3 linked regions of the Arabidopsis thaliana genome follow. The protein of the gene in region 3 interacts with the protein of the main gene of each other region in a pairwise test. Each region holds a gene or a part of one and is shown on either strand. Other genes may lie near its edges.

Region 1 (4,059 bases), 8.0 Mb from region 3:
CAATTGTTTGTTACCGGTCTTGATTCATATTCATATATAGATTGAAGAATGGCGGACGGTGAAGACATTCAACCGCTTGTTTGTGACAATGGAACTGGAATGGTTAAGGTAAAGTTTCTCTCTAAGACTCTTATTGCTATGTCACATATATATAAGGCTATGCCATAAACGACTACTCAAAAATATATCCCGTGCTTAGGCCGGATTCGCGGGTGACGATGCACCAAGAGCGGTTTTTCCGAGCATTGTAGGCCGTCCTCGCCACACGGGTGTGATGGTAGGGATGGGACAAAAGGATGCTTATGTTGGAGACGAGGCTCAATCAAAACGTGGTATCTTGACTCTGAAGTACCCAATTGAGCATGGAATTGTTAATAATTGGGATGACATGGAGAAGATTTGGCATCACACTTTCTACAATGAGCTTCGTGTTGCCCCTGAAGAACATCCGGTTCTCTTGACCGAAGCTCCTCTCAATCCGAAAGCTAACCGTGAGAAGATGACTCAGATCATGTTTGAGACATTCAATACTCCTGCTATGTATGTTGCCATTCAAGCTGTTCTCTCACTCTATGCCAGTGGCCGTACAACTGGTCAGTAACACACTTATATTTGTGTTGATCCAATCTATAACCAGTTTTTTTTCATGCTTGATTTTAAATAATATGAACTATTTTAAGGACTATTTGGTTATGCTTTTATGGACAACCCTAATTGGTTCTTTTGCAAATTATTGATTAGGTATTGTTTTGGACTCTGGAGATGGTGTGAGCCACACGGTACCAATCTACGAGGGTTACGCTCTCCCACACGCAATCCTACGTCTTGACCTAGCAGGTCGTGACCTCACGGACCACCTCATGAAAATCCTCACAGAGCGTGGATACTCCTTCACCACAACTGCTGAACGTGAAATTGTTAGAGACATGAAAGAGAAGCTCTCTTACATTGCTCTAGACTTCGAGCAAGAGCTAGAGACTTCCAAAACAAGCTCGTCCGTTGAGAAAAGCTTCGAGCTTCCTGATGGACAAGTGATAACCATTGGAGCAGAGAGGTTCCGGTGTCCGGAAGTTCTGTTCCAGCCGTCAATGATCGGAATGGAAAATCCAGGAATCCATGAAACCACATATAACTCTATCATGAAATGTGATGTGGATATTAGGAAAGACTTGTATGGTAACATTGTGCTAAGTGGTGGAACCACAATGTTTGGAGGGATTGGTGATAGAATGAGCAAAGAGATTACGGCTTTGGCTCCAAGTAGTATGAAGATTAAGGTCGTGGCTCCACCGGAGAGGAAGTACAGTGTATGGATCGGTGGCTCTATATTGGCTTCACTCAGCACTTTCCAGCAGGTGAACACATTAATATACATTTTTATTATTATTTGATCATGTATAATATAACATTCATAAGTTTGTTTTGATATAAATATTGGTATGTGTTTGAAAACTTGACAGATGTGGATTGCGAAAGCAGAGTACGATGAATCTGGACCCTCAATAGTGCATAGGAAATGCTTCTAATCACAGTTCCTAAGATCACCAAACGAAGACGGAAGTAAAAGTAAAAGACAGAAGGTTAAAAACATTGAGATTACTACCAAATGCCACATTTTTCCATTATATTTTCTAATCTCTCTTTTATCCTTTTTTTTTTGAATAGCCTCTCTATGTTAATTTTTCAACTAAGCATACTTTTCTTTAAACAATTTCCACTCCCAATGTACTATATATAAGCGACTAATTTCAATTATTATATTTTCTATTTTAAACTTAATTTATTTGTTACTCAAAAGAGATTTTGTGATGGTTAAACAATTGTGACTAATATACTTCAAAGACATCCGTATCAAACACAAAACAAGCTCCATAATGTTGATCTAGTACAAACAATTGTGACATATAAATGCATATTGTCGAAACTCACTAAATCTTAGATTACTCGGTTAAATGGATGTGGTCTAATAAGTGTCAATAAACACAACACAAAATGTTAAACTGATGGATTAGTGATGAGAAGATGAGTTTAAATGTTTCATTTAGTAATAAAACGTGTTTATTATGTTTGTTGGTAAAGAAAAGAAGAAACGAATTGTTGATGGTTAACTAAATTTTAATTTCTTATTCGATCTCGGTTTAACCGAACCGAATCGTAAACCCAGAAACAGAAGCTGCGACGGAGAATCCATTTCTCGAGATCGTCGCCGTTAAAATCTGCGATCTCATTGCTCATTGGTGAAGACAAATCCCTAATTCGTATGTCAGATTCTGTGGCCGGCGATTTCCCTCCCGATCCACTTCTCGCCTCCGGAGCCTTCATCTCCTCCGCCGGTGACGGAACCCTAGACAGTAGTGCGAAACGACGACCGATTCAGGGAGGAATCGGAATTTCTGGTTCGGGAGAGAGCGTACGCATCGGGATGGCTAACGGCACTGATCAGGTGAATCATCAGACGGAATCGAAGTCGCGGAAGCGTGCGGCGCCTGGAGATAATTGGTTGCCTCCTGGTTGGAGAGTTGAAGATAAGATTCGAACTTCCGGTGCCACAGCTGGTTCGGTGGATAAGGTAAAGAATCTCAGCTTGACTCTGCTTTTCTCTATGAAGTTTTGAGCTGCGTTGTTGCTTGAAGACTACAAATTGAGGATTCTTTGATTGCTGTTGTTTTGTTCTCTTTGGTTTAAAAATCTTGCCTTTAAAGTAGTGACAAGTGTAATGATGTAGTAAAATGATGTGGTTGGTTCTGCTTAAGCATTAATGAGTTTGTTTAGATTATGTTAATGGTGTATTGGGACTTGAATCATACACTTTATCAGTGTGATTAGTGTTACTTTGATTTATCAGGTGGATTTAGATGGTTTGGTTTGGTATATATTGTGATTGAAGAGATGAAGTTTTGGTGTTGTTATACTCGATGCTAATATGGGTGTAGATATTGATGTGTAGACTTGTGACATTTTCTTATCTGGTTTTGCAGTACTATTACGAACCAAATACAGGACGTAAGTTTCGGTCCAGGACTGAGGTGCTGTACTACTTGGAACATGGAACTTCTAAAAGAGGCACCAAGAAAGCTGAGAATACATATTTCAATCCAGACGTGAGTTTACATGCTTAAAGATTAAACCTTTCACCCTGGTTTCAAACCTGTGATGTGTATTGAATTTTGCATTTGCAGCATTTTGAAGGCCAAGGAAGCAATAGAGTCACCAGAACCGCTACAGTGCCTCCACCTCCGCCACCGCCATTGGACTTTGATTTTAAGAATCCACCAGACAAGGTAAGCTGGTCTATGGCAAACGCAGGAGAAGAAGGTTGGATACCTAATATTGGGGACGTCAAGGTTCAAGACTCAGTGAGACGAGATTGGAGCACTGCGTTTACCTTTATCACAAGCCGAAACCCTAGTAAAGTGTCGGCTTGAAGACTATGATGACCTGGTGGCGATTTTTGGGTTGTTGCATCTATGGTAAGATACACAGATATGTTAGGGTTACTTAATTGGATAATTCTTGTTTAGTCTTCATTCATCAATCATCAAGTTATGTGTACTATAATTTTTGTAGCGGTTTTTGGAAGAATATGATAAGGGGATATGCATCTTTGTGTTTGCTTTTGGAACGTGATAACCATTCGACTTTTGACTGATGAAATTGAAGACACTGTCGTAGTAACAAAGCTATTCTTCTTAGACATTTTGATACTGAACTATTCTGTGTTCCAAAGTCTTTTACTTTGTGTTTAGGAAAAGATCTTGTTCTTTGTGAAACCAGTGTCGTAATTCAAGAACTAATGCTTGACATGTCTCACCTGCTCAGGTTATCTAAATCTAATGGATAAGAAGAAACATCAACAATACTGCACTGATACAAGACAAGAAGCGTCTGTAGTCCAACGGTTAGGATAATTGCCTTCCAAGCAATAGACCCGGGTTCGACTCCCGGCAGACGCAATTATATTTTTCCCAAACATAATTTTAGATTTTGTTAACCAAACAATTTGTGGGGTTCGAATGTAACTGGTTGTAGCACATTTAATATCTGCAATAAATTATCAAA
Region 2 (4,059 bases), on a different chromosome or scaffold from region 3:
GATGTAGGGCTGAGAATTCGTCTATGTGATCCAACGGTTTTAAAATGATCCTTGTTCCTTCCTCTCCTATTTATCTGAAGGACGAAGTCCCCACGCTGCACATAACCGGGGCACTTAACGTATAGATCATAAACAAAGAAGAAGAAAAAAAATAAGAAAAGAAGAAGAAGATGTCGTGGCAAACTTACGTTGATGAGCATTTGATGTGTGATGTTGGCGATGGTCAAGGACACCACCTTACTGCTGCCGCTATCGTTGGTCATGACGGTAGCGTTTGGGCTCAGAGCGCCAACTTCCCTCAGGTATTTGATTTCATTGCGTCTGATCTCAATGTGATTTAGATCCTGATAGTGTTGCTATCCGATATGATATGTGTTTTTACAATGTGATTTAGATCATGCATCATGTTTTGATTAGATTCTATCAATGTTTGTCATGGGATATATATATAGTGTATTTTGTGTGTGTGTGTTTCTTTTTATATGTTTTGCATAGATTTGAAAACAAATGATGCATGTTGTCTCATGGTAATCGACTAATCGTGATTTGGTCTTTCATATAGTTCAAGGGACAGGAGTTCAGTGATATTATGAAAGATTTCGACGAACCGGGTCACTTGGCACCCACGGGATTATTCATGGCAGGAGCAAAGTACATGGTGATCCAAGGTGAGCCCGGGGCTGTAATCCGTGGCAAGAAGGTAACCTAATCAGTAGCTTCATGATCAGATATGCAAATACCATGTTGAAGAGGGTTCTAATTCAATATATGCTTCTTTCAATTAGGGAGCAGGAGGCATAACGATAAAGAAAACAGGACAGTCATGTGTGTTTGGGATCTATGAAGAGCCAGTGACACCAGGACAGTGCAACATGGTCGTCGAGAGGTTGGGTGATTACCTCCTCGAACAGGGTCTCTAGAATCTTCTTACAATGTTCCACCACCTACATTTTTTTATAAGGCCATTGTTTCTCCTATTTTTTTCCTTTGGGTGATTTGCATCTCTTTCTCTAATTGATATTATAAGTTTTGGGCTAATGGACCTTCCTGGTTTCTCCCCATAGCAAACTTTTAAGAAAGCTGAAGCCTAAAAGGCTTTTACTCTCTTTGCCTTGGTTTCTTATTTATATGCATGTTTTAGTTGTTTTCTCTTTGCTTTTTTGTCAATTGCATTCTGTCTACTACACTAAATATTAACGTATTGATTGAGAAAATTGCATTATCATAATCTATAGAAAATTGTATGTAGTGTAGTAGAGACATTAATCTCACAATACTAAAAACACTTTCAAAATTTACACGAGCATTTAACACATACATCAACACTCATTATTTACAACAGAAGAAAAAACTGATACGCAACGCAATCTTTCCTAGTGATTTCATTCGTAAGAAAGAAAAAATGAACATGAGAAAGAAAAATGGCAACAGGCAGAATTCATTCATCAACTTTAATCTTTAATAGGAAAGTAATAATAGTACAATTATGTCGGAAAATCATTCCCATCCCATCTGTCTTTATTATGTGCTAATCTAACAGCTCATCGAGAAATCGAATCTCAGTCTTTTTTCCCTATTATTACATTATCACTTAGATATAAGGAAATTTTTGTTATCTCACAATATTCACTTTGAATCAATACGATGCACATATAACAAATTAACAATAGCAAGTGATTGTTTCTCTTCAATAACTCAAAAACATTTTTTTTTTTTTTGGAATAGAAAAAGGTTTATTAACCATCTTTCTAAATTTTGGGTAATTAAGAAACATTTATTGACAATGACATTAGGAAAAGAGAACATTAATTGTAAAGGGTGGACCTAAATAATTGGAATATTTTGGTGTATGGCACACAATGCAAGAGCATATCCACCCTGTAAACAAATTATGGCCATACTTCGATCTCTTTTCTTTGATTTTGGAAATTAAATTCTCTAGTATTGTTTTTTTTAGAAAAGAAAAAAAAACTTTTGTATTGTTTATTTATGTAAACTTCATTTGTTCCAATAAAATCTAAAACGTTTTCACATTTGGTTTGACAATTTTATTTACACAAATTTTCAATATACTTTTAGCGTTAGATCAAATTATACCATGCAAGAATTATATGCATTTTCTATATGATCTTGTTTAAAAATAAAAACTGTAGAAATAATGTAAAACCCGAGAAATGAAATTGTTAATAGATTAAAAAAATCATTTCTTTTAACCGGATGCAAATTTTAATCATTTTAAAAATATTTTCTTTTGATTATCATTTTAAAATTATTTATCGACTTTCACACAAAACATTTTGAATTTCATTTGTATCTACTTTTTTTTTTTTTTTGGTATTTCTTTTAGCTGTCTTTATCAAATTCAGTAAATAAATAAAATATGTATTTTAATGGAATTTTTTGCAGTAGAAATTAAAAAAGAGTTTTTTTTTATTGGAAGGCTAAATCGTGTTATTAATAATTTAAGCTCAAAGGTTGTCCAAGTCTACAAACCAAAAGCACGCTACAGAAGAAGAGGAAGAAGAAGAAGAAGCAGAGACAACAAGAAGAAGAAGAAACAGTCTCATCTCGCCGGAGAAGAAGAAAGATGTCGTGGCAATCATACGTCGATGACCATCTCATGTGCGAGGTCGAAGGCAACCACCTCACACACGCCGCCATCTTCGGCCAAGACGGCAGTGTCTGGGCTCAGAGCTCAGCTTTCCCTCAGGTTTTTCTTCCTTCTTCTTCGCGTTTCTTCCGATCCTCTGTCTCAAATAAGTTCATCGATCTGATTCAATCGTCTGATTTAGGTTTATTCCTTGTGATCCGATCTGAGGAAACTTGGATCTGGTTTTGATTTGCTAGCTTCTGACTTGTTCTCTCTGACAATCTGATTTTCTCAGTGATTGATTGGAGTTTGATTCTGAGATTTTCATGGTTTCAGTAGTCAAATCTTGTCTATAGGTGTTTTGCTTGGCACAGAATCTTATCTCCTTTCAATTCATCAAATGATAAAACTTTTCACCAAATTCTTCAAAATTTGGTATTTTACTTGAATTTGAGATCTTAGGGTCATTGCATATGAATTGTCACCTCTGCTCAGTATTGTATAAACCATGTAAAGGATCTGTTGTATTGGTAGTAGTATCATTGCTCAGTCGGTTGAAGCTAATTGCCTACTTTGTTGTTCTTGTTCATGTATTTAGTTGAAGCCTGCAGAGATAGCAGGAATCAACAAAGACTTTGAAGAAGCCGGACATCTTGCCCCAACCGGGCTATTCCTTGGCGGTGAGAAGTACATGGTTGTCCAAGGTGAGGCTGGAGCCGTCATCCGAGGGAAAAAGGTAACATTTTTCATTCGAGAAGACTCTTTTTTTGTGGTTTTGATTGAGATAATGAATCAAAGGATCAGTCTTTTAGATCAGCAAGTTAAAGTCCATGCTTACTTCTTGCAGGGACCTGGTGGAGTCACTATCAAGAAGACTACTCAAGCTCTAGTCTTTGGTATCTATGATGAACCGATGACCGGAGGGCAATGCAACTTGGTCGTGGAGAGGCTCGGCGATTACCTTATCGAGTCTGGTCTCTAAGTTCACTCAAAGTGCTTCAAACAAATTTCATTTTTCGGGTTCTTTCTTCACTAGAGAAGCACCCTTCTGCCATGTATTGTGATTTGATTGTTGTTGTGCATCAAACAAAGTTATTATACTCTTAAAAAGAACAAAGAAACAATCATATTTGTTATGGTTTTGATCCTCTCCTATGATGGCTCTTATGTTTTTCTCTTGTACTGTATTTCGTAATGTATAATTACGCTTTGGAATAAAAATTTGAGTTTGTGATCATTTGTTCTCGATCAGCTCATAAAAATTTTCTAGGTTCAGTCACAAATACATCACCAAGCTTGACATTTCGGTTACGTGGTGAAAGAAATTACCAAGTTCAACAGTTGGGCTAAATTCTAGTTTAAGTTCGCTCACTACTCAAAACTTCATACAAAAGAAGGCGACAGTGCATTCATGTACACACTTGTCACCAAATACTCGAACAAACTACAAAACACGGCAACAAAACAGA
Region 3 (4,059 bases):
TATGATTACAAACAAGTGTAACTATGATTTATGCTTCGAACCCAATCATTTTGAGACGTTAGAAAGGGGTAATTTGGGGTCTTCAAACTTCCTTCTTGAATTTGTCTATTTTATACTCAAGTCCTCGGATGGGCTGTTCTGAAATCACTATAGTTGCATGTGTGCAATAACCCGGCCCATAAAAATTAATGCCAATTGTATTATTCCATTAGCCCATTAAGTCATCAATCATTACCACTAAATCTGCTATAAGATTAGCTTCTCTACCTCTAAAGTCTAACCAAAAAGAAAGTCGAAGATATCTTCATCGTTTGCATGTAATCTCCTTTACATGACCATGAAGTCCTTCTACCCATTATGTTTTGGGATTGCATTAATTAAGAACAGAATAGCACTCTCCCCAAAAGAATTCTTTGGAGCCGCAATTATTTAAGCAAAACATTGTCCGTGGATGATTCTTTACGAACGGGCCGTGATAGTTGTGCCAAGGAACATCTCTGTGGGAGAATTCAAAGCTAGTAGGATTCAAGCTCAAATGGACTTATTAAGCTAGGTAGAAATAATAGAAAGATTGAAATGAAATCGCTTATAAAAACTTTATTATGATGCAATTAATAGAAAAGAAAAAAGACTTTAACTTGTCAACAAGAATACAATGATTCAAAATTGATATTTTTATAAGGGGTTTGTGCAAAAAAAAATCATAATTAAGTCGCTAATTTTTTCAACTTTACCATTAATCTCTACAAAATACATAATAATCCTATAAAATACAAAATAAGACGCAATATAGCCCTATACATATATTGTAAATGTTTCTATGATCACATACATTTGCTTTTTAAAATTGTGAAAGTAGAGTTGGACTCCTCGTCTCGAAGATTTTAATTTGATATATTATTTATCAAAATTTTAAAAATTTAACTATAACAAAAAAATGAAGCTATATTGCATATTATTTTTGATTTCATACAATTATTTTGCATTTTTTTAGAGATAGATGATAAATTTGTAAAAATTGACGTCTTTGAAAGTTATTTTTGCACAAAATTCCTTTTATAAAGAAAAAGAAAAAAATTTGTTTTGAGACAACTCTTAAGATTACCTTACAATACATTGATATTTAAAAACAAATTTATATGAATCTCTAGTAGCTATCACCCTAGTTACATTGGCTAATGGATTTCTCATAATAGTTTTGGATCCTCTAATAATCTCTAGTTTTGGATCCTCTAATAATCTCTAGTATATGAAGGACGGAATTTCGATCATTGCTCTCAACTTGTTCATCAAAATCTAGCAAAATTGACATTTTCCGTCGAATATCACCCATATAAACTTAACCATAGTGGAAACCTAAAAATTCACCCCCAACTTTTACAAGAAAGTGATCTTTCTCATTCCTTCATTTGAAAGGTTTGACCTTAACGTTTTTGTTGTAGTCGAAGGAGTATCTTTCACAACATTGCTGATCTTAGAACAAATGTAACCCATTATTACCATAAGACTTATTTTTTCTTTTTCAGTTTTGACTTGTGCCTTTATGTTTAAGACACTAGTAGCCACATTTATTACGCTTTTTCACCGCAAAATTTAACACGCACTCTCTTTGTCGATCCCACAAACTCCATCTACCTAACCATGGTTAAAAATCATCAAACCTTGGTTCCCTTGATTAAAATATCCCTAAATCCAAGTCTCTTTATTATTTCATTTAAAATCATAAATTTAGTTTAATACAATTGTCCTTTTTCAAAATATTATTTCTTTATTTGCTTCAGCAACAGTCGTCATAGTCATCATATCATTTTCTTCTTTTCCTCCTCTAAACGAATATTACCAATAAAAAATCAAGTGGAAAATATGTAATATTAAAAAATCTCCAACAGCTTAAGAAGTTAGAACCTTTTTACTTATCTTTATTTCTTCTTCTTCTTCATTTTTCTATTCACATTCTCTGAAACTCATACCATATTTTCAAAGCTCTTAACCCAAAAACCCTAAGTCTTTTTTTTCTTCAAATTATTGGTTATATTAATGTTTTAAGCTATGATGGATATGACTCCTACAATAACAACAACAACAACACCAACTCCTAAATCACCCGAACCCGAATCCGAAACTCCGACCCGGATCCAACCGGCGAAACCCATTTCCTTTAGCAACGGCATCATCAAACGCCACCACCACCACCACCATCCTCTCCTCTTTACTTACAAAGAATGTCTCAAAAACCACGCGGCGGCTTTAGGTGGTCACGCTCTCGACGGTTGCGGCGAATTCATGCCGTCTCCGTCGTCAATCTCCTCCGATCCAACTTCTCTCAAATGTGCTGCTTGTGGCTGCCACCGTAATTTCCACCGCCGTGATCCAGATAACAACAACGACTCTTCCCAAATCCCTCCTCCTCCTTCCACCGCCGTAGAGTATCAACCTCACCACCGTCATCATCCACCACCACCACCACCTCCTCCACCACCACGTAGTCCTAACTCAGCTTCTCCTCCACCAATCTCTTCCTCTTACATGCTCTTATCTCTCTCCGGTACTAATAACAACAACAACAACTTAGCTTCTTTCTCCGATCTTAACTTCTCCGCCGGAAACAACCACCACCACCACCACCAACATACTCTTCACGGATCTCGTAAAAGATTCCGAACAAAATTCAGCCAGTTTCAGAAAGAGAAGATGCATGAATTCGCCGAACGTGTTGGTTGGAAGATGCAAAAACGTGACGAAGACGATGTTCGTGATTTTTGCCGGCAGATCGGAGTTGATAAAAGTGTTCTCAAAGTTTGGATGCATAACAACAAAAACACCTTTAACCGCCGTGATATCGCCGGAAACGAGATCCGGCAAATCGATAACGGCGGAGGAAACCACACTCCGATTCTCGCCGGCGAGATTAATAACCATAACAATGGACACCACGGTGTCGGAGGAGGAGGAGAGCTTCACCAGAGTGTTAGTAGCGGCGGTGGTGGCGGAGGATTTGATAGTGATAGCGGCGGAGCTAACGGTGGTAACGTTAACGGATCATCGTCGTCGTGAAGTTAAAGATGAGAGTGTCAGGTTAATAAGAAGCTTAGAGTAAGCTTATTCGTATTATCATCGTTAATAACTTTCTATTAAATATTAATTAAGATCTTTAGCTTTGTTTGTTTTTGCATTATTATTAGTTTTGATTTAATGTTCTTTACCACGTCGGTGTCTCGCTCGATGAGGAATAATACCATAACAATGTTCGAATTATATCATTTGTTGTAAACATTTCTATTAATGAACCCTGAAATGTGACTAAGTACTCCAATAAATGGTACACTTTTGATGTGGTAATCTTGTTTCGGATGAAGAAACAAAAAGATTAATAAACGAGTGAAACATGATTAGTTACTATAAATATTCATTTGGTTTCTTATCTTTTAAAGTACTCTTCTTAATTTTATTTGCAACCAAACTAGATGTAGTAGGTGTACTTTTTTTCTTTCTTAGATCCTCTTAATTTTATTTTATTTTTTTATTCTATATCAAATGATTAGCCATCATTAGTATATTAGTAGCATTGTTGTTAACACCCAGTGTTTTCACGTCCGACCCGGACCGTCCGGTCCGACCGGTTGAACCGTGACCCGAACACTTTTCCGGTTTGGGTTTAGTATTAAAATCCAACAAGTTCAAAACCGAAAAAACCCACAAAAACTCATCATTAACCCGTGACCCGATGAACCAGTTGAACTGGCCGGATGTGGGTTTTAAAAAATTCTCTTGATTTTGGAATAAAATATGAGATTTTAGACTTTATTCAATCAATTTTTAGATATTTTTCAGTTCTTAAACCCATTTGATGTTTAAGATTTTGATGAAGACTTCACAATGCCGCCTTAAAAAATGAATCGAATGGTGAGTGAGATATCCGATATTAGTTGTGTGAATTCACGATGTTTTATTAGTTTATTTCCATCATTGCTGATTTTTTACTATATTTGTTACGGTATTAGACATTTAGTTGGATTTAAAAAATTTCATCACTTTATTATTATTGTTTGATTATATATT

What was found.
Region 1: the proteins of HB23 (region 3) and MBD6 interact in a two-hybrid assay, tested with the Arabidopsis thaliana proteins (one large-scale study listed by BioGRID).
Region 2: the proteins of HB23 (region 3) and PFN2 interact in a two-hybrid assay, tested with the Arabidopsis thaliana proteins (one large-scale study listed by BioGRID).

The regions. Positions count from the first base shown.
Region 1 is NC_003076.8:23,950,061-23,954,119, forward strand, and holds MBD6 (methyl-CPG-binding domain 6), read left to right. Parts: upstream 1-2,071; 5' UTR 2,072-2,260; coding exon 2,261-2,569; intron 2,570-2,978; coding exon 2,979-3,101; intron 3,102-3,179; coding exon 3,180-3,425; 3' UTR 3,426-3,647; downstream 3,648-4,059. Other genes in the region: ACT4 (actin 4), read left to right, coding at 49-108, 200-593, 742-1,355, 1,461-1,526. UniProt on the Arabidopsis thaliana protein: Transcriptional regulator that binds CpG, CpNpN and CpNpG (N is A, T, or C) islands in promoters regardless the DNA methylation status. Plays probably a role in gene silencing. May associate with histone deacetylase proteins (HDAC).
Region 2 is NC_003075.7:14,447,548-14,451,606, forward strand, and holds PFN2 (profilin 2), read left to right. Parts: upstream 1-2,340; 5' UTR 2,341-2,587; coding exon 2,588-2,710; intron 2,711-3,188; coding exon 3,189-3,326; intron 3,327-3,437; coding exon 3,438-3,572; 3' UTR 3,573-3,847; downstream 3,848-4,059. Other genes in the region: PRF4 (profilin 4), read left to right, coding at 171-302, 563-700, 786-920; AT4G29360 (O-Glycosyl hydrolases family 17 protein), read right to left, coding at 4,015-4,059. UniProt on the Arabidopsis thaliana protein: Binds to actin monomers and regulates the organization of the actin cytoskeleton. At high concentrations, profilin prevents the polymerization of actin, whereas it enhances it at low concentrations.
Region 3 is NC_003076.8:15,909,494-15,913,552, forward strand, and holds HB23 (homeobox protein 23), read left to right. Parts: upstream 1-1,856; 5' UTR 1,857-2,049; coding exon 2,050-3,054; 3' UTR 3,055-3,367; downstream 3,368-4,059. UniProt on the Arabidopsis thaliana protein: Putative transcription factor. Probably involved in establishing polarity during leaf development through the gibberellic acid (GA) signaling pathway.